Lepisosteus oculatus: one gene and its partner. The protein of the gene in region 2 interacts with the protein of the main gene of each other region in a pairwise test. Links are inferred from orthologs where the notes say so. Each region holds a gene or a part of one and is shown on either strand. Other genes may lie near its edges. The genes, in order: fcho1 and protein-tyrosine kinase 6.

Region 1 (16,421 bases), on a different chromosome or scaffold from region 2:
AACACAGTTAAAATGGAAGCTCGGTGCCTGGGGGCTTTCAGTGCTGGAATTACAAACTGTTCAGACTTACGGCAAGCAAGAAGTTTTCACTGGTAAAAAAATGCAGAGATAACTTGACCCTTGTTTTCCCCCCAGTAATGCTGATGTGCACGCAGATGTGCTGGCATGACATGCTTGTAAATGCATGTGCCCTGTGGGCTGGGGGTCTCACTGAGACACCCCAGCTTTTCAGCTGCTTGGAAGAGGTGAGGTGTGAAGACCATTTAATTACCTGCCTGTGCCCTTGTACGCTGCGGTTCTCTGCTCACCCTCTCACACGCAGGCAGCAGGGCTTCAGCCGAGTTACTGTGGTACGCACTGCAGCTTGCAGCCTGCACGACGCTGCTGCCTACTCACTTCAGCTCAACAGGCCCGAGGACACGACGTGCAAGTGGAAATGAACAGGAAATGATTTTAAGACTGAGAATAGGTGGTGCTTCTTTACACCAGTGGTTCCCCGTGCTGGTCTTGGGGGAACAGTCTCTTCTACATTTCTCTCCAGCGGAGCTCTAACAGTCCAGTGCAAGATGATGACTGCAAACCCCCACGTCAAGGTACAACTTCAGCCCCCATGACAACATGCAACTTGCTTACCTTTTTGACTAGACAGAAATCAGTTGATCACACTAGACGATTAATTGATGATGAAAACACACACTCCAGCAGCCACTCCCACACCATCCTGGGCCAGAATGAGCGCCCCAGACCTGCTTCTCCAACGTGCTTCACCTTGAGAGTCGCGCATCACACCACATGGTGCAAGTCCCGCACAGTGCTCTGCGGGGGAGTTCACTCTGACTTGGAGGTGTGGCTCGTCTCTCGCTGACGTCACACACACTCACACCAGGGCCAGTCTTCCCAGAAGCCAGCTGACCCTCCACCACGTCTTTGGACAGCAGGAGGAAACCGGAGCACCCAGAGGAAGCCCGCAGAAACACGGGGAGAACATACAAACTCCTCACAGACAGCAACCCAGAATTGAACCCAGGGCCCCAGCGCAGCAAGGCAGCAATGCGGACCACTACACCACTGTGCAGCCCATCTACTTAACAGCACTTTCTGAATTTATAATCACACATCTCTTTAGAAACATCCAAAGCTTATGGAGTTGAGTATTCTGGCGACTGATTTCATCCCTCCTTCCGGAGCAAGAAGATCTTTCCGTGTAGTATTACATGATACCGATCCTTGCAATTAGCATTCAGCGTTCTGGGAATTCCTGCTTTATATAGTTTTTGCCCTCTCCCAGCGCAGCCGTCCCAAACAGAAGACTACATTGTGCACACAGCTTGTCTGGTTTCCAGTAACTCGCTGACCCAAAAGCCCCACCAAGCTGGGTTTTTTTTTTTTCCTGGAATGCGAAGGAGTCACAGCGTACGCGACATCTAAGATCTCCACACACTCGAGCCTGGACACGCAGGAGGGGCGGCGCCGCCGTCACACGGTAACTGTATCAGCACGTGCATCCAGGCGTACCGATCTGAAGCGCGGCCGCGGCCCGCACGCGAGGGGGGGGGGGGTAAGGCCTCCCCCCCCCCCCCCCGCGCAAACCTGCACCCTGCCTCCATCTGGCAGAGACCGGGGGCTCAGGTCCCCCTCCAGCCTGCCGGCAGCCCTGCTCCCTCCGGCTCTGCACGCCCAGCGGGCTCGTGTTCATGGATTAACAATTGCCCGGCTGCTCCGGAAAAACAGGACGACGTCAACCTGCGACGGTGGCGGAGAGGCCGGCTATTTCACCCCTCATTCCAATCACCTCCAACTCATGGTTAGTTTTATTCTCTAGATGGGGGGGTCCTGTAACCCCCTCGGGGGAGACGCCTGCTTGCACTGGCGGCGGAGCTCACAGATCGGAGGAGCTCCCTCACCGGGGAACGTTTACACGATGCCCCTCCTCACACATCTCTGCTGTAAGCCACAGCAGGGAGCGAACGCACAAACAGAGCCAAGGCACACCTCAGTGAACACCTCCACTAACTAAGAGATGGCTCTCCCCAGAGCTCCCGCACCCAGCTGCCCTTCTCCGGGCCGATCCCAGAGCAGCCATATCTTGCAAGGTTACAGAAAATCAGTCCAGAGAAAAGCAACCAGATAGACTCTGAAGTTTTAAAGGACTGTCCTGCACCGACAGGCTGACGGGACTGAACTTCTTCAGTACCGAACAGAGAAGAGGGGACCTGATTCTCAAAGACACCGAGCACATTCCGACCCGGGACACTTCTGTAGGATGCGCGGAGAAACACGAACCAGGGAGCACTCCTGGAAACGTGGCCGTGAATTTAAAAATGAAGGCTGGAGGCAATTCTTGTGCAGTTCATGTGCTGGGTGGCGAACTTCTAAATGCCCTCTAGATAACGAAGCACCCCGATGCACTGAATGACCCTGTAACTTTCAATACATTCTTGCCTGCATAATTTGTACCGGAACAATTTTCAACTTCTTTTTCCGGAACGTTCTTCCCAAGACTGAAATTTACTCGTGGGTTCAAAGTGAGGAGCAACTCCTCCCCCCCAAAAAAAAAATACATGCATCTTAGCTCTGTAGCTCTAATCGATCGATGACGTGTGATGATAACTCAGAAGCGGCTGCAGGTGCCTCAACAGCCCCCTGCTGAGTGAGGGGGTGGCGGCAGTGAGATTGAGCGGTTTCATCTCGCCGTCCAGGGGAGCACCAACGAACCCTCAAAGGACCCACAGCCTGGATCAGGAAGTCACATGGCCCAGACCAAGGGAGCCGAGCGCCTATGACTCATCTGACATCAAGGATGCATGGTGGAAGGATCAGTCCAACACACACACAGCGCTCATAGTCTCACATCGCTTACTCACTTTCGCTGTGCACTGCTGGCTTTTCCCCAACCAGAAAAAAAGAAACACGTCTGTTGGGTGAGTGCATCAGTTGTGAATGGCACCGGCTCGTCAGCCGAGTGGGAGGACAACTGTAAAAGCGTCACAGAAGAAAGCCACAGATTTCACAGGCACAGAAAGACACAGCATCCAATTCTCCCGGTTTTCCTGGGCCAAATCAAGCCCCAAAAAAAAAAACAACGATAAAAGGGGGAGGTCAACAATTTTTCCACAACAGCCACCTATACTTTCTGGGAAAAAGTGAACAGCACTCTAACCCTGTGCAGACACAGACATGCACCGACAGTCTCCCCAGAAGCCAGTGTGTTTTGGGGCTGTGGGAGGAAACCAGAGCGCCTGGAGGAGATCCACACAACCGCAGGCAGAACATACAAACTCCACACAGACAGCACCGGGGCCACAGTGCTGTGAGGCAGCGGTCCTAATCGCCGTGCCTCCTGCCACTCCCTTTAAAACCTCTTACATTCACAATGTTTAGACCAGAGTCCACCCCCTGTTGAAAGATTAAGATAAAAGAAACACAAAACCGAAGAAGTACCAGCATGTGTCTGTTCACGAATGCATACTGTATATAAAACCAGGGCTACCTCCTGTTTCAGAATAAAGACCAAACTCTTTGACAGTCTACCCCTGGCTACCTCAGAATGAGAGGCTTTTATTTTCGACGACATAACCTCCCCAAATTAGACGGGGCCATTGAAGCAAGTAAGCTCTGAAAGTGTACTGTTTTTCCCCACCGCCGAGGGCAGCGGTGTGACCCGTCAGCTCTCCCGCTGACCAGTGACCCGGCCGGAGCGGACCAGACACTCGGCTCCCGGTTTTACCGTCAGTCGGCGCCTCTTGGCGAAGACAAGTGTACCGTCTCATGTGTGTACCACTCCTGCGATACTGCGAACAGACACCGCGACACAACCACAGACAGTCGGTTAGAAATTGACAGTGGAGATTCTTACTAACGGGCTAACATCAATATTAAGAAATAGAAAAACGACGGCAGGTCCACAACGCACGGACACAACCCTAGCGGGGACACTCGTACCTGAAACAGAGCAGTTACAGCCCCTGAAAACGCACTTGATTGACGCTGATCCGATCCCAGCGGACTATTCATTTACGAAAAACCGCGACCGGCTCGCGCCACTGTCAGGGCAACAGCGCGCGGGTCCCCCGCGAGCCGGAGGAAGTTGACGGAGCCGCGTCTCGAGCCACCCCGAGTCTCCACGGCTCGCGCCCCCTCGCCGCCTCGAACCGCCCGCGTGCGGAAAACCTCCCTCTCGAGGTTTTCTTTGAAAGAAAGACGCGCGGTTAAACCAAATAAAATGCGCACAACCGAACAGGGCGTTAATGGGTAATGGGTTTTTTTTTTTGCCGAGCAAGACGTAGTTCCTCGCACTTTTCTATCAAATCCGAGCGGTTTTCGGGATTTTTTTCCCCCCCGATTACCTGCAGATGATTTCAGACGCAACGGCTCATCCTCCATCCCCGATCACCTGTCCTCCCTCCGCTAGCGCGTGGAAAGTCCTGTCTTGTTACACTTCCAACCCACAGTGCTCTCGCCGCCCGCAGGCCCCGCCCACCGCCGCTCCCATTGGCCACGGGCTCCGTCCGTCCCCATCCTTGGGTGAGATGCGCCGTAGGCATGGTAACCACCGGGGGGCGTGGCCCGAAGCCCAGCCTCCCGACCAATCCCATGCTGGGCTGCCGGACCTGGCTCCCGCCCACCTGTGGGGGAGCCTTGGAGCGCGGCCGCTATTGGCCAGAACAGCCGTCATTGTGCTGGAATCGCGGGAGGCGGGAGCTTTCAATTGTCCTGTGCTGCACCGCCGCCTCAGCTCCGGGGGTGCTGTCTGCGTGGAGCGTGGGTTTCCTCCCACAGCCCAAAGCATGCTGGTAGGTTACTTGGCTCCTGGGAAAACTGGCCCTTGTGTGTGTGTGTGTGTGGATTGGACAGCAGTCCCGTCCAGGGTGAGCCCGAATTCGGTAAAGCGGTTAGGAAATGGATGGACGGGACTCTATTTTATTGACAGTTTTTCGGTTTTATTATATTCAAAGAAGATCAGATTATAACGAGAATTCGCCGGATTTTGTTTCCCGAAATGTGTACAAATATTCCAAGTTGCGTTTTAATTCATCGCTGTGACAAGAAAGCTGGGAATTAGTGTAAATGTTACTAGTAAGTATAGCTTTCATCCAGCAATGTGGCCTAATTTTAAAAGACAAATTAACATTTTCCCCTGTTCGAAACGACCTTCTGTGCTTAATTCCGAAGACTGAAAAACAAAAAAAACTTTATCATTATGTGCTACGAAGTAAGCGGGAGATGTATTTTAATCGTTGGGTCGGTTTTATTACGGCAAATGTTTTATTCAGAGACTCCTTTGGATAAAATATACACTTTTTGAAGGCCACTGCAAAATCATTCACAATGTATGATTCAATTGGTTTATTGATTTCTTAATAAATATTTATGCAGCTATTAATGTTTTAAATTCGTAAGCACACAACTGAACTTCAAACCTGAACTATTGCAGTTTCTGAACAAAAATGCAAAACACTGTGAACACAATCTACATAAATGAAAAACTTGAGAGTACGCAAATCATTTTCAAGGTCACGCCAGGCAGGTGCTGATGGGCGCATTACCGAACTCTGTCCACTAGAGGGCGGGAGACCCTTACAAATACGGTCAGGTCAGTCACGATCTCTTCCTCCCAGGTCGATGATGAAGAAGGCTATTCTAACGGTGCTGATGTTACTATCATTGATCTGCCCTTTTTAAAACGCATCAAGGATCAAGACAGCCGACCATCAAACACAACCTATCCGTACCAGTATCACGGATCCAGTACCCAGAGCCCAGGATAAGATAAGATCACCTTCTTGGCCCTATACAATTCCTTGCATTAGGAATTTGTCTTTTTGCAGACCCCAGCTCGCTCTCCATGAGACAGACAGAGAAGCTGGGGGTCAGAGCGCAGGGTCAGCCATTGTACAGCGCCCCTGGAGCAGCTGGGGTTAAGGGCCTTGCTCAGGGGCCCAACGGAGGAGGAGGATTCAAACCGGCAACTTTCCAGCCACAGGCTCAGGTCCTGAGCCACAGAGCCGCCGCTCCGCCCCACAGGGCGAAAAAAAACTTGCGCCTGGCGCTGAGATGAGCTCCGGTATGGACTTCGCCTTCACCTGCATTTGAGGGTAGCAGCTTGGGGTAGGTCTAGGTCTAGGGCTCCCGTTCCGCTGAACGGTGTGAATCGTCCCCGGCTGGCATACCTGCTTAAACCAAGGAAGACGGTTCCTTAAAGTATCCACACGCTGTGTGGCCGGTCGGGAGAAGCTGGATTTGGCTCGTACCCTGCTCACCGGCACGCCGAGGACGCGTGTAGTGGTTTGAAGTCGAGTCTGCTAGGGGGCTCACCTGTCCGAAAAGCGTGACTTCCCGATGTGTCCTGTTGGTGCCCCTCACCTCTTCCAGGGAACTCCCCAAGCAGGGCTCGAACCGGATCGACTGAACAAGACAGACAGGCACGCAGACTGTAAATAAACCCATCCTGAACGCTTCCTTTTTCGAGTTCACGTTGAAAGGGGACTTGTTTTGTTTTTTTACAAACCGAAACACGTCGTTTTTGTCTGATCTAAATCCTTCATGGGTAAGGTGTCGTCTCCGACGGGGGGGGGGCGGCGCACCTGGGCTCCCCGCACCTGCAAGCTGTTGCCACAGCAACCATCCCGCTGCCTCCCAACATCCGGAGCCGCCCAGCCAATCGGAGGCTCCCTCGCTGCGGGGGCGGGGCCCGGGGGAAGACGGGAGTCACTGTCCCGCCCTCCTCCTGCACGACTCCTGACACGGTAGACTCGTCCCTTTCTAAAACTAAACGTTTCATTAATTTTGTAGTGATCTTTACGGATAGTAACCTGAATGGGGTTTCATTTTACCCCTCTATCAAATGTTTTTTTAACTCTACAACACAATAATACAGCAATTTGTATTGGGGAAAAAATACCCATCCTGTTGGTGCCTTCATACCAACTACTCCATCCATCCATTTTCTAACCCCAGGTGTCCCCGTATTGGATAAAGTGAACCCGGCCAGCAATGGGCAGAGGTAAAACCATGCCAATGATGATCCAGATTCTGACTGTTTTTTTGAAGGTCAGCCTGCTGCCCCATTGCACCTGTGGGCACTGGAACTCAGTTACCTGAACCGAATAGTGAAAAAACAAAACGAGACCTTTAAGTGATTTATAAAAGAAGCATATTTATTGGAAATAAAACAAAAAGGATTAGTGTTCAATACTGAATCAAGTCATCAGCCTTCATTTCAGAGTACACACAGCTCCCCCACTTTCACACACGACAGACAGTAGCCTGCTGTAGAACCTGGTGAGATCGCCCGTGAACATGGTCCTGCTGCTGATCCACTACGTGTGCTCCAGCAGCCAGACAGCTGCAAACAGCTGGATGTGAAGAACAGTAACACTGCCCTGAAAGACTGAACCAAAGGTGACTAGTGTAAGGGAGGAAAAAACAGCAACTTGCAATTTCCAAAGTTTGTTTCTGGTTCATTGCATCAAAATATCTTTTGTAATAGTTTTTCTCCTAAATCTTCAGGGGTTCAGGGGCAACCTCTTACTCCTCAGTGTTTATTCTACTGCAACCATGTGGTTGCTTAGACAACCTCAACAATACCTGTCCTCTATCATCACCCCCCCAAATGGGGGCGTTTACTGACCATAGTAACTTACTTCATCTCTCTGCTATGACTTCACTCCCTTTTGGTGCCGAGTGAGATTCTGAAAGCCTGGACATTCAGTAAGAAAATCCCTCACCCTTCTGCCATGATGCAGGACAAAAGGTAAAGACCTACTGTGGTTTCTGCACGGAGAGATCGCACAAAAACTGGATTTGATTTTCCTTCAGAAATTCGGGGGGGGGGGTCACAGGTACATTTAAAAACATGTCAGGTTCAAGTCAGCTCTTCCCACAGCTGCTGCAGACAGCGTCTTAGACAAAGTGTTCAAGGCCAAAAGCCTCACATACAAAAACAGCCAGCAGTGAGAGTGGTGCATGCTGGGTCATACTGTTAGCTTAAGATGCGGACTTGAGTTGCCTTATATGGTAATCAGCGTACAGTGCAGCAGAGTAAGACATTCAGTCTAAGTACCAGACACAGATGTCAAAAATACTCTGCAGTAAGCAACCAAATGACATTTGTTTCCTTTTTTAACAAAAAATACCACGCCTCAGGAAAGGAAACGTCTGCAGAAAAGCCTAAGCCAGTTTCGGGTTTAAACGATAGCTTGAACTACACCACAGAAAATGGCGTTTGACAGATTTTAGTTTCAGTCTCACATGACAGTAAGGGGATTTTCAGGTAAGCAATTGCAGCTCGGCTCCCGGAACAAGACTTCCAAGGGGGTACAGAACAATAAGTTGCAATTTCACAACGTGACCACTAGGTGGCACATAAGCAATGACAGATTTTTTCCCCCACAGTCGTTTTAAAACAGGGATCACTGCCGCGTTTGATCAGGTGTTTTTGAGTAACAGAACCATGTTAATACAAGCTTATCGAATGTCACTTGTGTTATACAGCCAGCTCTATTAAAAAATCAAGGTAGATATTCTACCGAACAAAAAAAATCAACAATGGTTCAGGAATAAAAGATACTGATTTTTGAAACCATGCTGTCTCTATGGTACCAGACAACAGACGTGCACACATGAGAATCTTTCTCCGAGGCGCTCCCCACGATGGAATTCCTCACAGAAAAGCACGAGACGCCCTTCACGGTCTTGAAATCCAGAGGACTCAGCAGAGTAACTGTAATACAGCTGAAACAATCAGGATTGTGAGGTTCCCAGAACAATGCCAAAGGAAACGATTTAAAAAAAATAAATTAGCAAACAGACAAATAAATAAAGCGGGCGATGGAATTTGTTTTCCCTCTTTACATTACAATGTCGAGTACTTAAACAAAATTAAATTAAAAAGAGAGCCCTTGTGTGAAGGGCTCATCCTTGGATCTTCTGCCATGTCTGTAAACAGCCCCAGGCTTCGAGAATCGCTGGGGAGCGGCTAGGCCACAGCTGTCACCTTGACAACCTGCACACAGACACAGCACAGATCTCTCCCAATGAAAATGAACTCTTTCATCCACTCTTAATGCACTTCAAGGCCTTGACACCGTTATCTTCAGCCATAATCTCCAGGGAAGAAAAAAACAGTAAAACAACACTTCTGGAAATTATGTCCATATCCACAATAGACTCTTTCTTAAGCTTCTGTAATAATTTAATATTCAGACATCATTTTCAGGCAGCTGCAAAACCCACCAAAAACAAAATTAACAGAAAAGAGCCAGATTTTCATTTCATATGGTCTGGAGGGAATCCCAGCGGTAACGAGACCTCGGCCTAATTAAACTCCGCAGCGATATCCCGCACGGCCCCGATTGTTTTTAACTGGCAATGTTTCTGAAGATCACAGTTTCCAAAAAGAGTTTTTTTTTTTTTTAAAAAGTGACTGAATTGTTTCGCTCTTCATGACACAGGATCGCGCTTTCTGTGTTAAAAGACTGAGACTGACATATTCACCTTTAGCGGAAATTGTCTCAAACTAAAAAGTGTCCGAAAAAGCCTTTTGCTATGGGATCAGGAAGAGCCCTGAAGGATGAGAGCAGCCCCCTGCCTCACCGTATTGCACACTATCTAACACAGTGCATGCAGAGTACGACAGGCTAAAACGCACTGATAATTCACAGAATATGAGCTCGCTACCCTACAGCAGAACACCACAGACAAATGGACTAGGTGATGATAAATGTGGTGATTTTTTTTTTTGTTACATTTGTGTAAATATTTCACATTTAGGCACTAACGCAACCCAGGCTCAAATATATGTATAAATATAAAAAAAAAAAATCGGAAGCGAACCCTGTCCTATAAAACGTCTTCCAACTCTTGCTAATTACGCTCTTGCTACTTCCTCTTTTAATTATAAAAAAAGTCTTGCGTGTGCAACTTTAAATGACATTCCCTCCGAGATACGTGTGGCACCTAGAGATCACAGACACAGAACAACTACTAAAATGTGGTTATAAAACACGCTCGACGACGGTTTTGTTTCAGGCAGTTCCACAGCCCCTTTAACCCTCAGGAACCCCCGACCTGACGATCGGACCGCCCCGAACCAGCCAGCGTCCCGCCAGAAACACAGCCATGGCCTTCCGGGTCCACCTGAGGGCACCGGCCCAAACTCCGCGAACCGCGCCCCCCCGAAAGGAGCTCGTCGCCGCGACACGGCTGCGCTCGCCAACCGGGGATGCGTCGGCCGTCACGCTTCCTCCAGCACCGCGGGATCGACCCCCCGCGGCCCAATCCCGTCCCCCGCTCCGCGGTGCAAAACCCAACACCCTTCACTTCCTGCTCATCCTTCCACGACCTACTTCTCCCACAGACAGCCCAGACCAGGCCTTCCCAGAACAGCCCCGCCCGCCTCACTGCTTCGAGCTGGAGAGCCTTCCTCTCTGCAGCGCTCAGCTCACAGCCTGGGTGGGCACCTCCCTCTCGCCCCCAGCAGGTGAAACCAGCCCCGGATCCCGCTGAGCTGCTACTGCTCTCGGGCGGTTTACTCGTTCCGAATCGGAAGCACGCAGCTGAGGTGGGAACGCTTTGGCGGAAAGGGGGGGCCGAACCAGGAGACGCCTTTACGCCCCTGTCCTGACACTGCAGTCCCGCTCAAAGTGCGCCCCCCGCAGGACGATCCATTCATTCCCGAGACCCTACAGACTCATGCTTTTAGTGACCAGTTTGGTTTCGTTGTGAAAACCGTGCAAGTGCGCAATTAAGATAAGTCCCCCCCCCCCCCCCAAAAAGAGGATTGTTCTGAAAGGCAGCAATGAATTCCCACGGCCTCAAGGGGGGGAAAAAAAAGAGTAGGAGTGTAACAAAGGAGTGATGAACGGCCCCGTTCCCCAGAATCAGCCGCCTTTCCAACCCCCTGGAGATGGGCAACGCGACAGGAAACGGTCAAGGGCGGCTGCGAACGTGGAAATGAAGATCGGATTTCGGGGAACTGGGGAGCCCGTCGTGGCCTGGTCAGGCTGGACGGCGGCCGTCATGCTGCTCTGGGGTGCGAAGCTGCCTGGGGATCCCCGTCCTGATCGGGGGGATGGGGAGTTTCGTGACCAGGCACGCGGCACCGGCGGCCGCGAAGCGCGAGGGAGGGGGGTGGGGAGGAAAGGCGGGGGGGGGAGGGGGCCGGAAGCCTCCTCTGCCCTCAGAACTCCACTTTGCAGGCTGGGAAGGTCTCGTCCTGCATGGCCACCGTGCTGTTGCTGCCCAGCACCGTGATGCCCAGCTCCCGCTGCCTCTCGTGGGTCTCCTGGTACCAGTCGTGCATCACCACCGAGTCAAAGGTCGGGATCAGGGTCACCTGGAGGAGACAGGGGACGGCAGTGAGAATCCTCACGCCTCTTCGGCGTTCAGAGCTGCCTTCTGTTCCTGCTGGCGATTTCCTGCCAGGTGCTGTCTAAAGCCGTGCCACCTTGTGGACGTATATACTGAACATCAAACACCACCACCGCATTTCATTCTGCCCGTTACCATTTGTGATGGGCAGGAATGAAACGCACAGGTTAGCAGCGTGCGTGGCCAAGGCTGGAAGGAATACCAGATGTGTGCGGTGTCCTGTCCCATTCCTCTTGAAGAGCCGGGACTGGCGTGTGCCTGCTCACTGGACTCAACCCGGGACGTCACATCGCCCCGGATCATCCCACCGATGCTCGATTGGGGTTCACACCTGGTGACAGTCCCCCTGTGGATGCCCTACTTCAAACCTCCACCACCCAGGAAACCAGCTGTCACAAGCAGCACGAGGACACGCTTGTCCTGCTGGAACGCTAGCACATTAGGATGAACCCACAGGAAGTAAAGCATGCCATGACCAGCCGCGGACGAAAAAGACGATCAATATATTGGTGCCATTTGGATTAAACTGTATCCAAAATATTTATAATATGCATATATTCTTGGTGCTAAAAACAAATGCACAAGTGTGATTGCTCAGTATATACAGAATTAAAGTAAACAAGAACTGCATCATTTTTAACATCTTTGCTAAAAGGAACCACTGTAGATCAGGACAGCAAGATTCTCCTTTTCTGCCACATGAGCTCAGCGGTTCCTATACCACACTGTGACATCAGCAGCTAGCCTGACAGCACATGAGCACAGCGGCTCAACGTCTAGAAATTCTGCCCACTTGCTCATGGCATCTGTCTGGAGAACAGGTTGTCAACTGGTACTTCACTAACTGCAAGGCCCTGGGGAACTCTGGGATGAATTCGTGAAGAAAGACTGACTGAAAGTAACTACCAGCTAAGCTAAGAGGACGTTTCAAGCCCATCTTCCGACCTGCGGCGGTACCACTGACCTGCACGCTGCCCGACCACAACGCCTTGCCCTCCAGCAGCGCGTCCAGGATGGGCCGCATGACCACCTCCTTGAGCGGCTCGTCCCCGCTGATGATGTAGCAGGACGAGCGCAGGCGTTTGAAGAACTCCACGTCCACCGTGGCGGCGGCGCGGCCCGAGGGGAGGTACGCCAGGTCCAGGAACACGGGCGTGCCCGCCGGGGGGGGCCTGCCGCCCACAGGGCCTGGGAGGAGAGGGAGACAGAACGAGCAGGCATGACGGCTCGCGACAGAGATGGTCTGCTGCCGATCGGAAGATCACAGAATGCGGGGGGGAAAAAAGAGGAAATTCAGAACACCCATCGTTTTGCTGAAATTCAGACCACTCGTAGCCTGAATGTTTCACTCGTGCAGATCAGTTACAGCTCCAGAACCGGGGGGGAAAAAAAAAAACTGGAAGAAGAACCCGGATGGCCCCCCCATCAGAAACGGCCGTATACTTGAGATTTAAAGCAGGTTCTCCGTCGTTTCGACTTCATGTGTCAGAAGAACACATCACTCTACTACTTCCCCCGTTTCGTCTTGTATTTGTCCTGTCGTACCGAAGAATGAATCTGGCGCTCACCTGCAGTGGAGGGTCTTGCAGTGGTCTTGGAGACGCCCGCGGTGTTCCTGGAGGGTGGCCGGGCGTCCAAGCTGGAGCTCGCCCTGGCGGAGGAGGAGGAGGAAGTGCCCTGGGCACCTTTAGCTTTGGTGTTCTGCGCCGCCGCGTTGGCGGAGCTCAGCCTGGGCGTGCCCACCTGCTTCCTGGCCTTCGCCGCGCCCTTGCCGTTCTTCGTCTGCTGCTCGGCTTCGGGGTCCGCCATGCAGGTGCCGGGCTGGGGCGGCAGGGGGGGCAGGTCCTTCAGGGGGGCGGGGGGCGGATCCCGGGCCGCAAGGCCCCGATGGGACGCGCGGGAGGCCGGCCGCTCGTGTGGCGCGAAGCTTCCAGAATCGTCATCCGAGTCCAGGCCGCCGTCTGCGGTGATGGAAGGGCAGTCCTCTGTTCCCGGGGGAACGTCGGAATCCGACTGGGTGGGGAGGGACTCGCTGGCAGAGGTGGGGGGCGTCTCCTGCCCCTGAGGGGATCTGCGGTTGCCGGCCCGACGCTGCGACAGGGGCTTGGCAAGCTCCTGGGAGAGATCACTGTCGTCCGACAGGTCTCGGGGACTGGGGTTGACGACGGAAGGCGAGAGCTGTTCCAGAGCTTTGGGGTGCCTGAACTCGCAAGGGGAGACGAGGCACAGGTCCACATCATGAGGAGGTATCTCTGGGAGGAGGGCATGTGGTCCAGGCAAGCGTCCCTCCGAACCGTCACCTGGAGGCCGGATATTGTGAGATGTCCGCAAGGGAAGGGTCATTCCAACTTTGGACTCTGGGTCCACAAAGTAACCATTTGTGTATGGCCGTTCACCAGTCTCTTCTTTGGGAGACTCACTGACTGGGGGTAGTACTTGTTCAAAGGAAACGGACAGGGACTCATCCACTTCTGTGGAATGGGGGGAACCAACTTCTGCTGGAAGGGATGGAGTGGTGATGGTGGGAGAGACATCAGGCATCACGTCCTTAAATGGGCTCAGAGAAAGGAAGCTTGACTGTTTATCCTGGGAAGAGGAGGAATTTTCCAGGCCAGCTTTAGGGCAGCCGGACTCTGAATTTCTACACGACCCCAGAGGCCTCCCATCCTCAAAGGCTAAATTGGACATCTTCCCTCCTTGACTGCTGTCTTCTCCAGATCCCAGACCATCCTCTGCAGGAGACTGGTGGAAAGGGGTATGACCTGCACTGGCTGGTCCTGACCCAGGAGGAGAAACAATCTCCAGAGTCTTCTCATCTGAACTCCCACATGGGTCCTCCTGACTGTTCCTCAGCAGGCCCTCTCTCAGGGCTCCATCCAGGAGCCTGAACTCGGTGGGAGTGAGGTCAAAGTTCACACTGCGGTCACTCTTGGGGGTTCTAGCCAGGGGTGATGGAGGGCCTATCACCTTACCGGGGTTGGGAATAGCATCCAGAGAGCGGAACTTCTCTGGGCTTTCCAGAACTTCCTCCACAGCTCCATTTCCACTCGGCTCGCCTTCAGCCGCTACGTTGTCGAGAGGCGACTGTTCCACTTCGCTCTCGGCTGTTGCGATGCCCTCGTCCGTTGACTCCTCTTTGCCCGTCTTTGCACCGCCTCCCCGCTGCTGCCTTTCGCTCTCTTCTCTCAGCTGCTCGAACTCTGCCGTCATGTCCTCCGGAGTGGACATTTTGGAGCGCTCAGCGTCCCCCTCACAAGCAACAGAGAGCTTTTCGCTGTCCGTGTCCTTTCTTGGCGTCTTGAGCTTTGCGCCTTTGGCCGAAGACGTTGCTTCCTTCTTCAAAGGGGCCCCGTCTTTCTTTGGAGGCCCAACTTTAGCAGCCGGTTTCTTCGATTCTGCCACAGCCGAGGCGGCAGCTCCTGGAGCTCTCTTGACCTCTTTCACGGGTTGCTTGGTCAACTTCCTCTCCTCTGCTTTGACCTCCTTTTTGACTTCTTTCTTGGGCTCTGGCTTGACATCCTTCTTTGGTTTTGCGGCCGCAGTGTCCCTTTTCACCATTTCCTTCTTTTTCTCTCCATTCTCCTCTTTCTTCGCGGGGAGTTTCTCTTCTTTCTTCTTCACCTCCTTCTTCTCATCTTTGGCCGGCTCCTTCTTGGTGGCCGGCTTCTCTTTTGACGTCTTTGGCTTCACATCAACCTTCTGTTTTTCCTCCTCCTTAGCTTTTGATTTCTCTTCCACGTCCTTTGGACAGGGTCCCTCTTTCAATGCATCTCCAGAAACTTTGCTCTTGGCCTTAGTGTCAGGTTTTTTGTCACCTCTTCCTAATTTTTCCTTCAGTGTACCACTGCTGGGTCTGGAGTCTTTTGGGACCGACTTCAGGCTCTCCCTGCTCTCTGCCCTTTTAGGCTGCTTGTCCGACTTGGAGGATTCCAAGTCTTTCACACTCACCACTGGGTGCTTGAGAAAATCCAGGTGCTTCAGCTTCTCAAGGCCTTCCAAGATTTTCCCCTGGGGTGTGCAGCCAGGGAACAACACACGGATAATTTTCTCCAGGGGGTTAGCTGGGTGCCAGACCAGTAACGCACAAATGGAAACTAGGCACTGAAGACTGATCTCTGAGCCTTTGGGGGAGCCATTGCCTGGCCAGTTCTGCATCAAGGTTTCAAGATCCTTGCTGCCTTTCACTGGGTTGAGGACATACAACTCCAGGCGACCAACCCCCATCTTCTGGAAGAGGATGACTGGCTCAATAACAGGCCCATTGGTGCGGCACAGGGGCTCTGGCTGAACAGACAACCTCTCCAGGTACTGCAAGGTAAGTGCCACTTGATCGCAGCTCCTCAGCACTTTCGGATCGCTGGGGAGGGTTTTTAGTCTCTCTGGGGCATTGAGGAACACCACTCCCAGCTCCGGGGAGATGAGGTTCTTGAGCCAGTCTTCGTTGCTTTGAGACCCCGCTGACTGGTCGTCTTCCAGCTCAGCCGCCTTCCTCTGCAGCAGGCTGTTGATGCCAGGGAGGTTGTCGACCCCGATGTGGGTCAACAGGACCGAATCGATTCGGTCGAGGTGCCGGACCAGCTTCCAGAAGCAGGCACGTGAATCGGAGCCCCCGTTGACCAAAACATTGAATCCGTTGACGGCGAAGAAGGCAGAGTCTCCCCGCCCTCCAGGGAAAATGTAGCAGCAGGGCCTGGAGAGCTTGAGGAAGCCAACGGTGCCGGGCGGCTCCAGCAGTTCGAAGGGAGAGCGGGGCTCCAGAGACTCCGAGAGATACTCGGTGAACTCCTGCAGACCTTCCATCTCGGGCAAGATGGTGGGGGGGTTCGTCTTGATCTCAATGAAGTCCTGAAGATTATGCTTCTCCAGAACAGAGTTCTTCCACTCGCCCGAGTTTGGGCCGGCTAGGGTCAGACTGGCTTTGTGCGTTGGGTCTGCAGAGCTCAACAGTTCACCAATCTAGAGGAGGAAAGCGCACAAAACACTTAGACTTCAAACACCAACCTCAAGAATGACATCTAAAATTACCGTATTATGGGCTGAGTAAAGCTGAG
Region 2 (16,149 bases):
ACCACGTCTCTTGAAAGACAATCACGTGACGAATCCTGTTGGTTTGGGATTTGTGTACATGTCATTGCTGTTTGGAGAATGAAATGTTGCAAAAGAACATGCAGGGATGCAGAAATACATCTGAACAGAGAGCAAGGTTGAGCATGGCAGGTACCTGGGTATGGAACTCCACCATAGGTGAGGATTTCATACAGAAGAACTCCGAAAGACCAGATGTCTGATTTAGTAGAAAAGCGCCCATGGCTGATTGCTTCTGGAGCACACCATTTGTAGGGGATTTTCTTGTCTTCAGAGATATAAAAAGGCTCCTGAAAAAGAAAAATAGCAGCGCCCTTCTATTTTCCTGTATTGCCTGATTTCCCTACCTCTGATTTTAAAAATGCAATTATTTTTCTTGTCATTAATGCAAACTTTTGCAGGGTTAAATGTACAGTTGTTGTTTGCATGAGGAACAATCAGATTGTTGCCAAATATGTCAGCTCCTTTGAAATAGCAAGATGGCAATCCAATGTTTTAATGCAGCTGGAAAAGTAAATTATATGGTTTCAGTGGAGCAGATAAGAGTTAAGACACAGAGTGAAAATGTGCCCAATGATATTTGGGGAACTTGGATTGCAAGATTGACCTAATGCATGCTCTATATTTTTATATCCCAGAGTAATTGTTTGCCAATTGCAATACACACAATGGGTAGAATGGCCCCCTCTTTGCAACCTTTGTTATTTGATTTTATTATTTTGTTAACTAGAATTAACATTAATTCATCTACCTTTGTCACCCGAGCCAACCCAAAATCAGCCACTTTGCAGATGAGATTGTCTCCAACTAAAACGTTCCGTGCTGCCAGATCTCTGTGGATGCTTTTCTGGGATTCCAGATGGGCCATCCCATCAGCAACCTGACAGGCCATGTCTAAGAGTGAAGACATATCCAACCGCCTGCCTTCTGTACCTACAGATGACAGAAAAAAAGGAACAATTTCAGAGACTGTCTTTATGCCGTATTAGTACTGTGAATAACTAACGTAAAAAGCAATTTTACAAGGTTTAAAGGAAAATGAAAGTCATAAACCCACACAATAAAAGTGCTTACCTCTGAGAAAATTCAGTAAGTTCCCCTTTTCCATCAGTTCGGTGACAATGTAGTAGGAGTCTTCAGTTGTGCAAATTGCAAGAAGAGAGATAAGATGTTTATGGCGAAGCTTCTTTAGTATCTGCGTCTCTAACTGGAACTCTCTGTAATTCACATTCTCTGTAGCAGAGGAAAATAAGACTGTATCAATAGGGCTCTGGTAGAAAAGACTTGATAATGCAGGAAAGCTAGCATTCAGTTTGATTGAGATGTACAAACAACTTAAAAAGTTTAATGGTAGATTCGGAGACAAAAAAGGATCAATGTAATTGAATACATATAGCTCAAAACATACACCTTGAAAATATGTTTTAAAGAATCATGCTGAATCCCAGTGGGAGACACTGTTAAACCAGATAGACTGCATACCACAAAATACTTTTGTTGTGTAAACCTAAACAAAAAGGCTTGGTATGACAACTTTAAGAATCATGTCTGCCGCAGTGTTTTGGAATGATGGTGCACTGGGACGTATTTTAATAACACGTGCTTTATAAACGAATAATGGATTGATTGAAGCCTTTTCCTTACACCAAAGTAAGTACTACTCAGGTTCTTCAGCGTGTCCTATACGTTCTCAATTATGTTGATTACTTCAACGGGCATTCTCCAATCTCCAGGTTTATAAAGTAAATTAAGTACTCAAACAATGGCCATTTTGTGCTCTCAAAGCTCCTGGTGTTTCGTTTTACTTTTAAAAATGGCAATCAGCAATTATTTTTGTAAGAGCCACCCAATTTGGAATCAGCAATTGTGATTCACTTTTTCTTGCTGCTTCAACCCTTGTATCATACAGGTGAGATTGAGGTGATGGTGACTGTGAGGACATCTCAAACCCACACATCTCTAGTAGCACTGTTGCTTTAATAACCCCTGTCCCAATGAACGCATGAGGCATGAATCATACACTATGCATAAGCCTGTTAATCCTCACCTTTATTTTTTAAGACTTTTATTGCGACTCTAACTTGATTTTTCCAGAGTCCTTCATAGACATCCGCAAAATATCCAGTTCCCAGCAATTTGCCGAGTGTAAACTCTTCTTTAGGAAGCTCCCATTCGTCTACAGTGGAGTGTGATAAATCCTGTGGTTTAGGTTCTTTCTGTTGGGAGAATGAGCATTACGTTACAGGCTCTACAGTCTGGATGGGGTAACTCAAAGTCACTCAAAAAGCTGTTGATTATGTATTTAATAATGTTAAAGTCCACAAAAACTGCAGAGAAATAGATATATTCGTGTAAAGGATAAGCAAAATTAAATTATTTTAAAAATGATGGCATTTTCTAAATTGCCCCTACCAAAAACACATCCTATAGAGTGCCTAGAAGTTCCTGAAGGTCATTTTATCCTTAAAGACTAAAGCTATCATTGTCAAAGTGACACTGAGAATTCTAATCGAGCTCCATAGATCCAGGCTTCATGATGGTACACACCACGTTAAGATGAGATTCATATAAAGCCTGTGCATGCACATATTTGGAAAGTACCCAAGAAAGCAGTGCAAAATCTCCAGAACAACAATTAGACTGATGTCTAGTTTCACAAAATAAAATGACCACTACTGTTGTGCTACACGCAAATTATATTTTGCATAAAAAAAACAGTTCCTTGTCTCACACAGTTTTCATGACTAACAGCACTTACTCTCCTGCATCCTTCTGTCAGTTTCTCTATGATGGAAAAGGAGTGAGTCTTGTAGTAGTCAATGAGACCCATCAGGGTGGTGAAGCTGTTTCTCTCATTTAAACAGTACAGCCCTTCTGCATTTTGCAAGATTTTGAAGTGTTTCACTTTGTTGTCAGATTTAACTGTGGAGAACATTACAAATTGAAGATTATAAATCCTAAACCCAAACTAGAAATCCTATTCATCACAGTGAACCACATACAGTAGCTTCCAATTAATCTTGGGAGATAACACCTAATGTCAATTGAAAGTTCCAATTTCAGATAATTTCTGTACATATTCTATAAAAAAAATTGAGGAAGTGTCCCAAATGTGGTAATAATTTCCTTCCTGTTAACTTTTATTTTGAAAACAAGACTATGCCTGAATTGCAACATAGTGTTTTCCTTAGAAGGAATCCTGTATTTTAAACATGCCCACATCCTCCTTTAAAAAGTGCAGGATAGGAGGTATGTTATACAAACATTCAAAATAAACCTTTTCATCCATTTCACATGTTTAACATTAATGATATACTGTATGTTTACCAATAGTTTTGGGAAATAACGTATTAACCACAGGAATATTTAACATGCAAATTGATTGATTTGTGCTTAAAAAAACAGAATAAGCTCTGGCCTGAGGAATCAGTGTGTGTGGCTCAGATAGAAATATCTTGCTTGTGGATTTTCTATAAAGTCACTATAAAGAAACTGCAAACTTGTAATTTGCAATTGCAAGTGGTTAAATGTTTGTATGTAATCAAAGGCCTAAGCAGATTTCATTATGTAAAACATGAAATTAATGGCAGACACAAGGTTACATATTGAACTGCAGTATGTCTACACATGCAAATTGGGGGTGGTTGACTAAACTTTGTCATGATTATATGCAACAAAAGAGAATTGCATGTGCACAATGAGGTGTCAGGTTGGCATTGCTCTGTTAATTACACTTCCTGTCTGATAGTCAGTGTCACACCTGCCTCAGCCTTTGAATTATTTAAAAATATTACTGAAACCAGAAAGGAGAAGTATAATGCATCAGAAATATATGGTCCCTCGAAAGAAGTAAAGATACTGAAATATCAAATGAATTAAGTGTTAAAGAATGAATTAAGCTGAGGTGTTCAAGAATGTCATCACTTTTAAAATGATTGAAATCTAAAGTTAATTGCACATAAGTGTGGGCAAGAAGCAACTTTTAAAGGATTTCAGCTTTTGTACCACAACTACAGTAATGTATGTTCTACAAAATCAAGACTGCTATTACTGATATTACTGATACGTGTCACTAACCTGTCTTATCTGAGCAAACTGACAGGCAGTGCAAAAAAACATTAAAATCAGTCCAAACAAAATCATTTATTACAAGGAATGTTCACTAGCAACTACAGATAAATGATTTCCAGCTGAGGATTTCTTAAGCAAGTGCTTCAGCTTAGCAAAGCAAACATGAATCTTCAGAAGCACTTAAAAATGGTGTTTAATACCAGTCTCCCTGCAATCTACACATATCTCTGTGCTCCTAAAGTGCCTTTGAAAAATTGAATCCCCTTCCCTTTGCTTCAATTAATATTTAGTCCCCATAAGAATGCAATTTTACCCCAATTACATCATGGTAAAGATAACTGAAGTGCATAGGAATGCAAGAATATTTCATTTGTCTGAGAATACAGTATGTTCAGAATCTTCTCCATGTCTGAATACCATGCCATTGAAAACCAATAGCTAACAAAACTGCATCCACTTTCAAGTCCTGGTGTTATGGCCCCTTTCCCCAAACAGTCAACTGATAATATAAAGTGCTATGAATGAGCTCAGCACGTGTTTTTGCTAGATGAGTAGCACCCACCAGACAGGACATAGTCCACATGCTCTCTCTCGCTGAGACGCACCAGGAATGTTCCTCTGCCATTTTCAGGTGAGAGGAGGAGGTTCACAGCCTCTAACCGGTTCATCTTCCCAAAGTACCATCTGAAATCATGGTTTTCAAAGTGATTTGTGATACTCCGAAAGACACATTGGGTTCAGAAAGATCGGAAGTTTAGCATTGAACAACAGCATTGAAAAGAAAAACGCCCTCAAAGTATCTTAAAACATTTTGTTAGTTATAGTATTGAAAAGAAGAATGGGATTAACATTTTGTCATTTTTTTTAAATCTGTGATGATAATTGTATCAACTGCGTATAATAAATAGATGGAAAATTCAATTGTGCGTCTAAGAACTAAGAACTTACGCGTTCCTAGTGAAGCTCTAAGGTGAGGCAACCTTTATTCATGGAAGCGAATGCGTTTTTTTTATTTACCTTTTCATAAGCTGAAGCAGTTTTAAAGTTCACGTGGAAAAGGAAGTAGCAAGTTATTAAAGCAGAATAATTTTATTAGGTCATTCAGTTTAGCGAAATACCACTCACACCTTCCTGCTGGTTTTATCACTAATCCTCAAAACCCGGTTGCATTCGAGATTTGATTTACTAATCATTATGGCATTCTGACCATTATTAACTCACTATAGCAATATATAGCAATATTAAACCTTAAAAAAAGAAATTATTGTTGTCCATTCATACCTTGATATAGAAATGCACATAAATCTACAACGAATCCCAACGCCATTCTTTGTTATTACTGTTAAATACTGTTTGCCTGTACTGAACCTATCATTAGACACCTGTCTTTGAATCAATCGCTTAATAAAAAAAGTGGGATTTCGAAAACTCAACGTGTACTAATAGAGAATCTGAACAGAGAATGTATTATGCGCTAAAAACTATTTACAGTAACTAATTACAAAGCATGTGGCCCCTATTCAGAAGCGTCCAGAAATGAATTTGTCCTAGTACTTACGGCTGCGCTTCTGCAGTCTCCCCTCTAGCGAGGTAATTATAGGGCACAAATCCCTTGCCCACAATTTGCCCATTGGGAGTCACTTTCGCTGCATTCCACCATTCACCTGTACGACTCAGTATCTTAAACCGGTCACCCATTTCAAACGACAATTCCTCTTCAGCTCTAGCGTGAAACGGCCAGAGAGCCGTGTACATGTATCCGTCCGGAGTTTCTCCCTTGGACGCGGGTACCGGCGGTGGCAGGAGTCGGGGTGTACTCGGCGGCTGCCGCAGCGCTTCGCCGTTCTCCGTCTCGTCAGGTTGGACTTCGCTTGCGTGACGCTTGCCATAACACCTGTCCAGCAGGCTGCGCAGGCAGGGGCATTTATCACCCCCAACTGTTTCACCCATAGGAGAGTCCTCGAGAAAACTGCGGTCTGTAATTCCCAACAAATTCTGAGAGCTCCCCAGTTCTCAGCCTAGTTCCAGTTGAAAGCGCGAGTTAAGAAGTCGACCACAAAATAATAATCATTGCAGCGTATTTCTCTCTCGTCACAGGAGCGGATAGTATTTTCACTAAACTACTTTTCTTTTACTGGACTTCTGCTTCCTCGTTATGCGGCGTTCGGCATTCACTTTAAAACCACGCCTGTTCGCATGTCTAGAATTCCAAGAGCAGTAATGCTACGAATAACGTATGGAAACAGCAGAACGCAGGTAAAATCTTAAGACGCTGACAATTTGATAACTACCAGCTAAAGACTGTTGTACTTGTAAAAAAGTGCCGGCAATAGAGACGCTCTTTTGCTCATTTACTATCCGATTAAATAACATACAGTACAGCGGCTACACCCATCTGAAAGCTATTTGAAATTTTGCAGGCAAAACAAACACGTCCACAAAACAAACTTCATTGCAGCTACTGTTTGGCGATAGCGGTTAAGGGGTTAACTACAGCAAATTAAAAATACTGAACACATCACTCAAGTTCAGTTCCCCATTACAGACACCCGTTCTGCGGCAACATCCCCACACAAAATGCTAATTTGGGGAATCTGTTCATAGAATAGCGCGCGTTTTTTTTTTAAAATAAACTGTAATCCAAAATTGTATTTCTTTATGGACAATTGAATTTAATGAACATTTTTACAAAAACAGCTTTTAAACCCCCCGTCAAGTCAAAGGTGAAGCTTTAATTGTTAATGTACAATATTGTAATAAAGTACTTGCACAGTCCTGTTAAAAAATACACCATCATCACAAGTATTTTCATCATAATATAAATACTGCCTGTGTTGCACTAAATTACTAGATTATTCTCCATGTCTGGGAAAAATACAAACAAGCAGCTAAGTAATTAGTGATACAGACATGCTCAGTCACAAAGTCCTTATTTTTTCAAATCAAAAATATGCATTAACATTTTTAAGTAGTACTGTATTTCCTGAGAGATAAAGAACAAACCATACAAAACACTCATTTGGCCTTTTCATTCATTTTGTTTTCCATTTATATTAATGTGTACACTGCATGGAGTTTGTATGTTCTCCTCAAGTCCACATAGCTTTCCTTTGAATGGTCTGTTTTTCTCCAGCTGTCCAAAAACATACTGGTGGGTTAATTGGCTTCAGGGAAACTTGGCCATAGTGCAAGTGTGTGTCTGTGTCTGTCCCATCTAGGGAGCTCTCTGCCTTGTACGTGTTGCTTGCCCGGACAGAATCTGGCTTCTCTGCTTTCCAGAATTGGGAGAAGCAGTTAGAAAATGGATGGATGGATGGATACCATAAATTCGCACATGTATGACACTATACAGTATATATAACTTGAATCCCTTTCCTCCCTCCACTCCTTCACCATAATAGAGGGAGAAGGGCTTGAGTAAGTTATAATAATTGCTCCCAGTCCATACCTTACCAACAAGTTTGGATTTTGTCTTCTCAACCAGTCTAACCCAAGCTTCGTCATTGCCTGTGTGGTTAATTAACGTCACAGAAACTTTGCCGATATAAACCTGTAACAATGAAATTCCACCATGCACATGCCCACTCTGTTTTGTGCTCCATATCACAACCTCATCAAATTCTGTAGCAGTGCTGTTTTGAATTTGTCACACAAAATACTTAAATTATTATTTCAGATACATGGAAAGGGCCTTTCCATTTAAATTAAATGTTGTAACCTTTTAAAAATAAGTTCAATTGCACTTACATTTCATAAATAACAGTTAAATCTGTTCACATTACAGAAACCTTGGGAATTTATAGCCTATAGGCATGGGATAAACTGATGTTTATCTGCACTAGCTGGTAAAGCTAAAATATACAAGTTCAATTAAAATAAATGATATAAAGTACTAAAGAAGTACATTGGAGCTCAAGGAAATACCCAGAAATTAAGTTAGGCGTGTTCTACAAAGCCCAATGTGTAATAAAGTACTGAATGTGTTGTTTGTCCAGTGAGAACAGTTTCCTTCTGTTTCATGCCACTGGTTTCTATTGATAGATATTTTGAATATTTTCCTCAAGGAAATAATGGTTATTCCTGGTGTTAAAAAAAACAAGAGGTGGAAACCTTCTACCTTACATTTTCCTGCATATTTGAGAAGAGCCGGTTCCTGGGCTAGTGAGAATGTTGAATTAGAATACACCATAGCGGTATGACATAATGGCCCAGGTCACAGTTTTCTTTCTCATCCTTACTGAGCAGACCATGTGACAGCTTTTATGATTTAAACTCACCAGATCCTTTTTAGGTATGAAAATTATTATACATATCTCTTCATAAAAAAAGTATAAATCTGCAAATTTTCAGCCCAGTCCCCTGGTCTTCACGTTACCCCCAATAGTTCTTCTACTCTTCAGACTTCTATAGTCTTGATGTTCATTTTGGTGTAGATGGTGTCAAGTTGGCTTCGTAAGGCATGGAAAGATGGCCTGTTTGTGCTCACTTTATTCCAGCAGCTTAACATTATTTTGTAAATTGTCTGGCTGCATCTTGCAGGACAAGGGAGCCTATAGCCTTTACCCAGAGCTTCCAAAACGTCCCGGTTACTCATGCCTGTGGAAAGACAGGAAAGCAACATGAAGGAATGGTTTCGTAGTCCATTAGAAAAGATGAGGTCTCTAGCGTGAATGTAGCATTTTTTTGACAGATTTAGACCATGCACTTCTAAGTGCACAGATCAAACAAGCACTGCACCTGTTACACCACAAGACTGGTCCTGTTTTAGACATGTTAACTGTCAGACCTAACTCAATGAGATCTGTTTCACAGAGTAAACAGCAGGCAAAGGAGCACAAGTGAAGGACACCCCTTGCTGCATTATCTCAGGGAGTGCTTAGAAAAGAAACCCTGTTAACTGCTGAATTAACCCATGAGAGACTATATATTTAATTTGTTTGCCTGTTTCCAATATCCTGTAAACAGTATGTACACCTAAACCTATATAATACTTGTGTGAATGCACTTAGATTCTACACACCCTATATCTGAAACATTAGGTATTGGAGAAAGCATCAGAGTATGGTAAAATGTTTGTGTTCATGTGCGATTTCTGAGGACCTAGAAGACTTGTACACACCATCGTAAGGCAGCTTTCCATGTGTGATCATCTCATACAGCAGGATTCCAAACGACCACACGTCTGATTTTGGAGAAAACTGCTGGTGAACAGCAGCCTCTGGGGCCGTCCATCTCACTGGGATTTGCATACGTTTGTTTGAAATGTAGACATTATCCTGTAGGAAACCGAGATGCCCAGACAGTCAACATGCTTCACTGGAGATAAAGCAGGGCTTCTGATACACAGGACTATATATATTTTTAGATTCAATGTTACAGCTTTAGTACAATATTTTAAGTTATAGCTGGGGTCAGTGTGGGAGAAATGTGAAGAATACACAAACAAAATCAATGCTGCAAAACAAAATCAATATCATTTTAAAAAATAAACACTGCATTTTAAAAATGTTTTTTTCTGATAATTCTTGCTAGCTTTGATTTTTTTTTAACTTCCCCTCCCAGATCCTGACTTTATTCTTGCACTTAGCTTTGCATTTCTACTAATAATTTGACAGAGTTACTAGAATTTAAACCGTGTTGCTATATACTGTAGTATAGCAGTGTATTTAAATAAATGGAAAAGGGTATTTACCAATATTTTAATATTACTGTTGATCCCTGACATTTCCTCCTTTCTATTAAAATCTCAGTTCTGCAATAGTTTTTAGAAATTCTTTAGTTGAAAAGTCAGGGTTTGGTGACAAAGCACATAAAATGAAATCAAATGAAAGAGAAATCTTTGGGGTGCATTCATGTTACCTTAATGATACGAGCAAGTCCAAAATCAGCAACTTTGCACATCAGGTTGTCCCCCACAAGAATGTTTCGTGCTGCAAGGTCTCTGTGGACAATGTTCCGGTCCTCCAGGTATGCCATTCCTTCAGCCACCTGGCTAGCCATGTAAACCAGGTGAGCCGAGGACAGTCTGTGTCCCTCGGGTGCTGGGAATAAGGGAAAAAAACAACCAGTATGAAACAGGCAATACAAAGGACAAAGAATTACAATTATAATGTGTTATTTGGAAAGAATGATATAAAAGTTCAAGAACATTACTGTATTATTATGGAAATTTCACTGTACTTTTAACACAATGTAATAGAATTGCTTCCATCTTTTTTATAGATCAGTTGTTAAAATACTCTAGAAAGACCATTTTCAAACTCCACACTTACAGCAGAAAGCAGGTTTCAAACATCCACACAATTACAGCATATGCTGGTATTTTTTTAATTTTTTTTTAGTTTTAGTTTGACAACTGAGATTTCCGCAATCCCGCAGCTATTTACTTAGGTAACTTTGTGTATTTCTGACCATTTCTGTATGAACTAATTTTCTGAGCCCTCATTTACTCACTGGTCAGGTAGTTCTTCAGGTTGCCCCTCGTCATGAGCTCAGTGATGATGTAGACAGGCTCACCCTTGGAGCAGATCGCAACCAGCTGGATCAGTTTGGGGTGGTGGAGGCTCTTCAGTGCTTGAACCTCCTTCACAAACTCATCCTGTTTCATATCCTCTGCAGAGAATGCAGAACAAAGAAAGTGCACTTTTGTACATTTTAATCGTGTCAACCTGAAATGCAATCATTGCTTTATCAAGACCAAATCAAAGAGGGTGGAAAATTAGCAAGCTTCAATTCACATGCACTCAGCTAGTTGGATTTTTTATACTGAGTATGATTCTTCAAATAATATTGCCTACACTAGCCATTTGATGACAGGAAATCACCATGGTTAGGGGATCTAGAGAAGTCTAACCGTGCCCAACAACTACTGCTTCTCTCTTGACATTCACCAAAAAACATACTTCAGACATTGGATTTTCTCAACATCATGACTTTAATTGTGTCCCCAGGTTATGTTTATCTTTATCTAAAGTCTGTAGGATTTTGTCTTCTTGGATGAAATGAAGACAGGCAAACTTGTTTCGCATTACAGACCCACACCTGTCTCCTGGGGACTGTACAAAGCCACCTTCCAGAAAGGTCTCCCGACTTTTTGGAGACATCAGTATAAAAAAGTATTTCAGGGATGTATCTTGTGCATCTGACATTTAAGAGACTTTGGTACAGTGTGTGTCTGGTTTTGATGAGATTATGCTCAATCTTCACTACATTATTATACCAGAATAACAAACAGAAATGAAATGAACTACATGAAATGACTTCTACTCTGTATATCATGAATCTCTTGCAAGGGTGAAGAAGGAGTGGGAGGTAGCTTATGAGATTAACCAAAAGAGTTGTCGCTGAACTGAGCCAAACATACCTCTGTACATCTGTCACACTGAATCCTTGCGCTGTATAAATTATAAATCTGACTCAGTGAAAGTTGGTAATAGACTAGTTTTTACTGAAGAGATAATTAAGTGAAACACTAAAAGAGGAACAAAATGCATCTTATAGCACACATATCTGGGAAACTTCGTTAAAACTACACTCACATCATATTTTCCTTAAAATAACTATTAAACTACTATAGATTACTACCAGAAGTACAATGTTCAGAAAATGTTGTTTTACAAGCTTTAAAATATACTGTAACCTTTCTGCAAGTGTGTTGGTTACGTAACAAGGAAGAAAAACTTAAAAATGAGAAAGATATAAATTAACACTTTAAGACAAGTATCAATGTATGTGTAATGAGTTACCCAATTCCAAGTGGTAATTTAGCAGAAAAAACCTGCTGTTGAGAAGGATTTCAAACCACATTGCACAAAATCAGATATCATAGTCAATGTTGCACTATTATTCCTAGCAACAAGGTTTACAGAGGTACTTTCCCGTAATAACACATACTAATTCCTTCCAGCAGAGATTTTATTGCAGTAATCAAGTAAGGGCCAACCTATCGTGTATTATGTGCAGTTACCTGAGATATTACCATAACCTTTTAGACTGTGCTCTGCTGTTCATCTTCATGTCTGACTCAGTGGGTCAGGTAACAAACAAATAGGGAATTGGAACAATAGGTTTATTCCATGCTGAAAAGAGAAGAAAGAAAACAAAACATTTTGGCTGTGGAGTTTTCTTTCTTCTCTTTTCATCATGGAATAAACCTATTACTTGTTCCTTTGCAGCCTATGCAGCTACCCACCTGAAATAGGGAATTGGTTAGACTGACAGCCTTACCCCATGTATCTAAAACTGTCCCAGGCCGGAGACAGACAGTTAAACAATGACAAAGTTATTTTCGCTGTGAGTACTTTTTACATTTATATCAATATGGATGTATTAATCCTTTTAAAAAGGCAAAAAAGCTGGACTTTGTTCTGTAACTATATGAATTACAGTGGGGGTGACAGACATCTCCACATTTCTCCCACATTAAGAGCTCACCTTGTTTTAATATTTTAATAGCCACCTTTTGTTTTTTTGGTGTCCAGATTCCTTGCCACACCTCTCCAAAGTGGCCTTCCCCAAGCTTCCTCTGGAGCACAAACTCTTCCCGAGGTTTTTCCCAGGAGTCCGCATTTAAATGCTCCCTCTGTAGAAACAATGTACACGAAGACAGAGCACTGCAAGTAAGCATCAACAGAAGTTCTTATATTACCAAGCTTCTGTTGAAATAAATCAGATTGAGGCACAAATACAAACTCTCCAGGTGAATTCTCTTACAATAAGAACCCTGAAGCTTCCTTACATAGATTCAAATTTTTTTTTCTTTCCCCAAAACAAAGAAGAATGTGTGCCAGCCATCCAAACATATTCATCACAGCCTGGCTGGGCTTTATTATTGTGATTGACCAGCGATAACAGACATGCTGCTGTAGTTCAGCCACACTCATGCACAATGGGTTTAAAAAGATCTGATCATGTCACACAGTTCACTAACTGTGAAATTAGCTATTCTGCCATTGTGCAGTTGGATTGTTTAAAAGATATTTGCAAGATTTCCATGTCTTCAATTTTCTACCCTTTACACTGGTACTGGTTACTTTCAATTTTCATTCTTATTATATTTGCATTGCTGTTTTGTGTATGTGGACAGTCTTCACAAAGTTTACAAAGTACAGCAGACGTTTATTAAAGTGATATGTCTCAGAGACACAGAATAAAATGAATTAGTGAGTACATCAAAGACTTAAGGAAAAATACAGTATACATGACACTGTGTATATAAAATGCCATCTGTTTATCAGTGTAGTGCCTTTACAGCAAACGCAAAGTGTAAAATTAAAATGATCATCAGTGGTGTGGACATCAATGGATTCACACATGAAATTCTCACACAAAGCTCCTTTCTTTCAAAGTAGAAGAAAAAGAGATTGAAACAATGGCCAAAGTGTTATAAGGTAATTTACTCACTCCACAACCAGAATGCTGGCGGGAACTGAAGAAAAAACACTAAGCTACAGTAAGTGGCAAATGTTTTAATGATTCAGTTCTCTCGTTTTTATTTACAGTATTTCAGCACAAACTAGCTGTAGCACTGGTGTTATGTTAAATGCATTCATACATAAAGTAGGAAAAACTGATAAGGCACTTAGTAAATAGCTTTATGATTTAAATTAAAAAATAACTAGTTGTACAACTTAACACATTGTTATCACAATTGTGAGCTACCAGTCCAAGTAAGATAACAGTTCACAATATTAAAATATTTTCAACAGTTATTTGCTTGCCAACAGTTTTAATTTGCTTGCATGTGAATTTAGTAACTCAAAACATTGAAATTCATAAACAGTATCAAATCCGGAGTAATATAAAAATACCTAGTCAAGTATCCCTTTTAAAGAGCAACTTCACTTACAGGCTTCATAACAAGACATGGATATTAACAACATACAGTATCAATTCTTCCATTTGTGTGATAATGACAGTTTTCTCTACATTGTAAATGTAAATGCTAGGAATGTATCAATTAAAATGGGCGGCAAAACTCTCAAAATATATATTTGCTGTAATAATCAGTGAATGTACATACCTGTTGCACACAAGCTTGCGTAAAAGGCACTCCTAAACTCTTACAGTTGGCCTGGTAGTGGCAGATCAGCTCCTCTAGAGTAGCAAACTGCTTTTTGTTAGAAACATAGTATGCACCATAGGGTGAGCGATACACTCGGAAATGCTGCACTTTTCCCTCGTTCCGAGCTGCAGAAAGGAAGACACAGCAGTTAGTTCAATTCATTTCTAGTTTATTTTCATTTCAATCCACCTCTCCATGCTGTTCTGATTGAAATAGCATGGTGTTACTGCTGCCCTTTGAGAATGTGAAAACTGTTGTATGCTGTCTGGTAATTTGGTTTCAGTTTAACTGTGCAATATGAATCAGTTTTTTCTGGTAACATAACAGAGCTTAGTTCATGTTTCCAGGTGGAGCACTTTACAACCGGTAATGTATAGTAATATATAGTCTAACAACTTATGTATAGTCTCACTATTTGTTTTGTGAGAGCAAAATCATTAAATGCAATCATTCTCACCTGACAGGTATGTATTTCTCTTTATTCTCTTATTTATTCATTTCCCAGGAAAGCAGCATTTACAGAAATATGGGACATTTCCAGTATTGAATACCTAAGTCCCAGGTTTGTATAAGAGTAACAAGTACTCTTCTGCCATCTTATGGCTATGAACAGTTCTGTATGTGAGTAGAGTCAGTTTTGTCAAAACAGAGATGATAACCATGGGTTTTCTTCTGATCACATTTTTGTCTCAATTTTAATCTGTTATTATTTGTGGAGTAGTATCCTATTTTCCGGAAACCAAATAATATCTAGACATTGGGACAAATCAAATGCCTCAAATAAAAATGTAACTATCTGAAATTTGCTGAAACCTGCTCTGTGAAAGGGCCTGTAAACCTGTATAGTCCTGCTATGATGTATGGTAACGGTTCCCATCTTGGAATTATTAACTGTACTCTTTTCCCATATGAAGCTGATTTTAATCCAAATGGAAAGATTGAAAGCACCCATGCATTTTCCCCAAGCGTACAGTAGCTGTGTACTACAAAAGAACATGGCAGGAAAAGGCTCACCCGATATAGAATATTCATCACTGTTACTCTCGCTGATCCGGACAAGGAAAGAGCCACTTTTATTTGGAGATGACAAAAGCAGCTTCTCTGCCTGCTGTCTGCTAATGTTCCCATAATACCACCTGAAAGAAGACACGCCCACCAACACACACAGCCGGGTTACACTTCGTCACATAGGGCCATTCAGCACAATCTCTGGAAACCTATGAGATAAACACAGCTAATTTCAAGGTGATTTCTGAAAAGCAAATGGAAACAAAAGTATTCTTTTAACAGTAAATATGAAACACTGATCTGGTAATTACACCTAAAAATATGTGTATTTCAACAAAGGTCCGAAGAGCAACAGTTCCTATACCAAGCAATAAAAAAGCAAACAGAATGTTGCTATGTAATTATAACTGTAGAATTTAATTCAAGCCATGTTAATGTTAAAATTCGACAGTTCCCCAGCAAGACCTCATCTAGAGCATTGTCCATAGGGCTGGTCAAGATGTTACAAAATAACATTGCTACTCTGGAATCCATCCAAAGAACAGCAACCAGAAAAGTTCAACAGAATGTCCTACTCTAACAGGGAAAAGGAACCTTATCTTTGTCTTCGACACACAAGCCAGAGTACATAAGCGGAATCTGCAGGGAACTGCATTTAAAACTGAGAACAGGACTCACTCCTTCACACAAAGGCACGTGGGAGTCAGGAATAAGCGTTCTAGGCATGTTGTTGAAGCTGTCGCCCTGGCTTCTTTCCAGAAAAAAGCTGGGTGAGATCTTCAGATCAACCAACTACTAGCAACCAAATGAGCTGAATATGCAAATGGGCTCCTTTTGCTTGTACTTTTTTATGTTCTTATGCTGTTATTGCCTTTGGCTAACAGATAGCCTTTATTAAAATCGGTACAATGGGTTTGTTTCACACACAGGCAGAGTGTAATTCACACGGTGTGGCTCTTCAATTATCTCTAGTGGAAATATGCATGAAC

What was found.
Region 1: the proteins of protein-tyrosine kinase 6 (region 2) and fcho1 interact in binary tests that used the Homo sapiens proteins (3 or more experiments, as listed by UniProt). The two-hybrid records come from large-scale screens. The link is inferred for Lepisosteus oculatus from reciprocal best matches to the Homo sapiens genes PTK6 and FCHO1.

What each region holds. Positions count from the first base shown.
Region 1 is NC_090724.1:1,723,759-1,740,179, reverse strand, and holds the start of fcho1 (f-BAR domain only protein 1), read right to left. Parts: upstream 6,561-16,421; 5' UTR 6,546-6,560; coding exon 6,509-6,545; intron 6,406-6,508; coding exon 6,316-6,405; intron 4,465-6,315; exon of another isoform or gene 4,384-4,464; coding exon of another isoform or gene 4,347-4,383; intron 4,110-4,346; exon of another isoform or gene 3,943-4,109; intron 1-3,942. Other genes in the region: map1sa (microtubule-associated protein 1S), read right to left, coding at 11,180-11,335, 12,335-12,558, 12,939-16,326. UniProt on the Homo sapiens protein: Functions in an early step of clathrin-mediated endocytosis. Has both a membrane binding/bending activity and the ability to recruit proteins essential to the formation of functional clathrin-coated pits.
Region 2 is NC_090711.1:5,438,096-5,454,244, reverse strand, and holds the start of protein-tyrosine kinase 6, read right to left. Parts: upstream 6,670-16,149; 5' UTR 6,040-6,669; coding exon 5,648-6,039; intron 4,774-5,647; coding exon 4,652-4,773; intron 2,941-4,651; coding exon 2,777-2,940; intron 2,235-2,776; coding exon 2,066-2,234; intron 1,252-2,065; coding exon 1,093-1,251; intron 952-1,092; coding exon 770-951; intron 309-769; coding exon 155-308; intron 1-154. Other genes in the region: tyrosine-protein kinase Srms, read right to left, coding at 8,486-8,685, 9,209-9,365, 9,949-10,130, 10,543-10,701, 12,523-12,670, 14,111-14,277, 15,167-15,288. UniProt on the Homo sapiens protein: Non-receptor tyrosine-protein kinase implicated in the regulation of a variety of signaling pathways that control the differentiation and maintenance of normal epithelia, as well as tumor growth.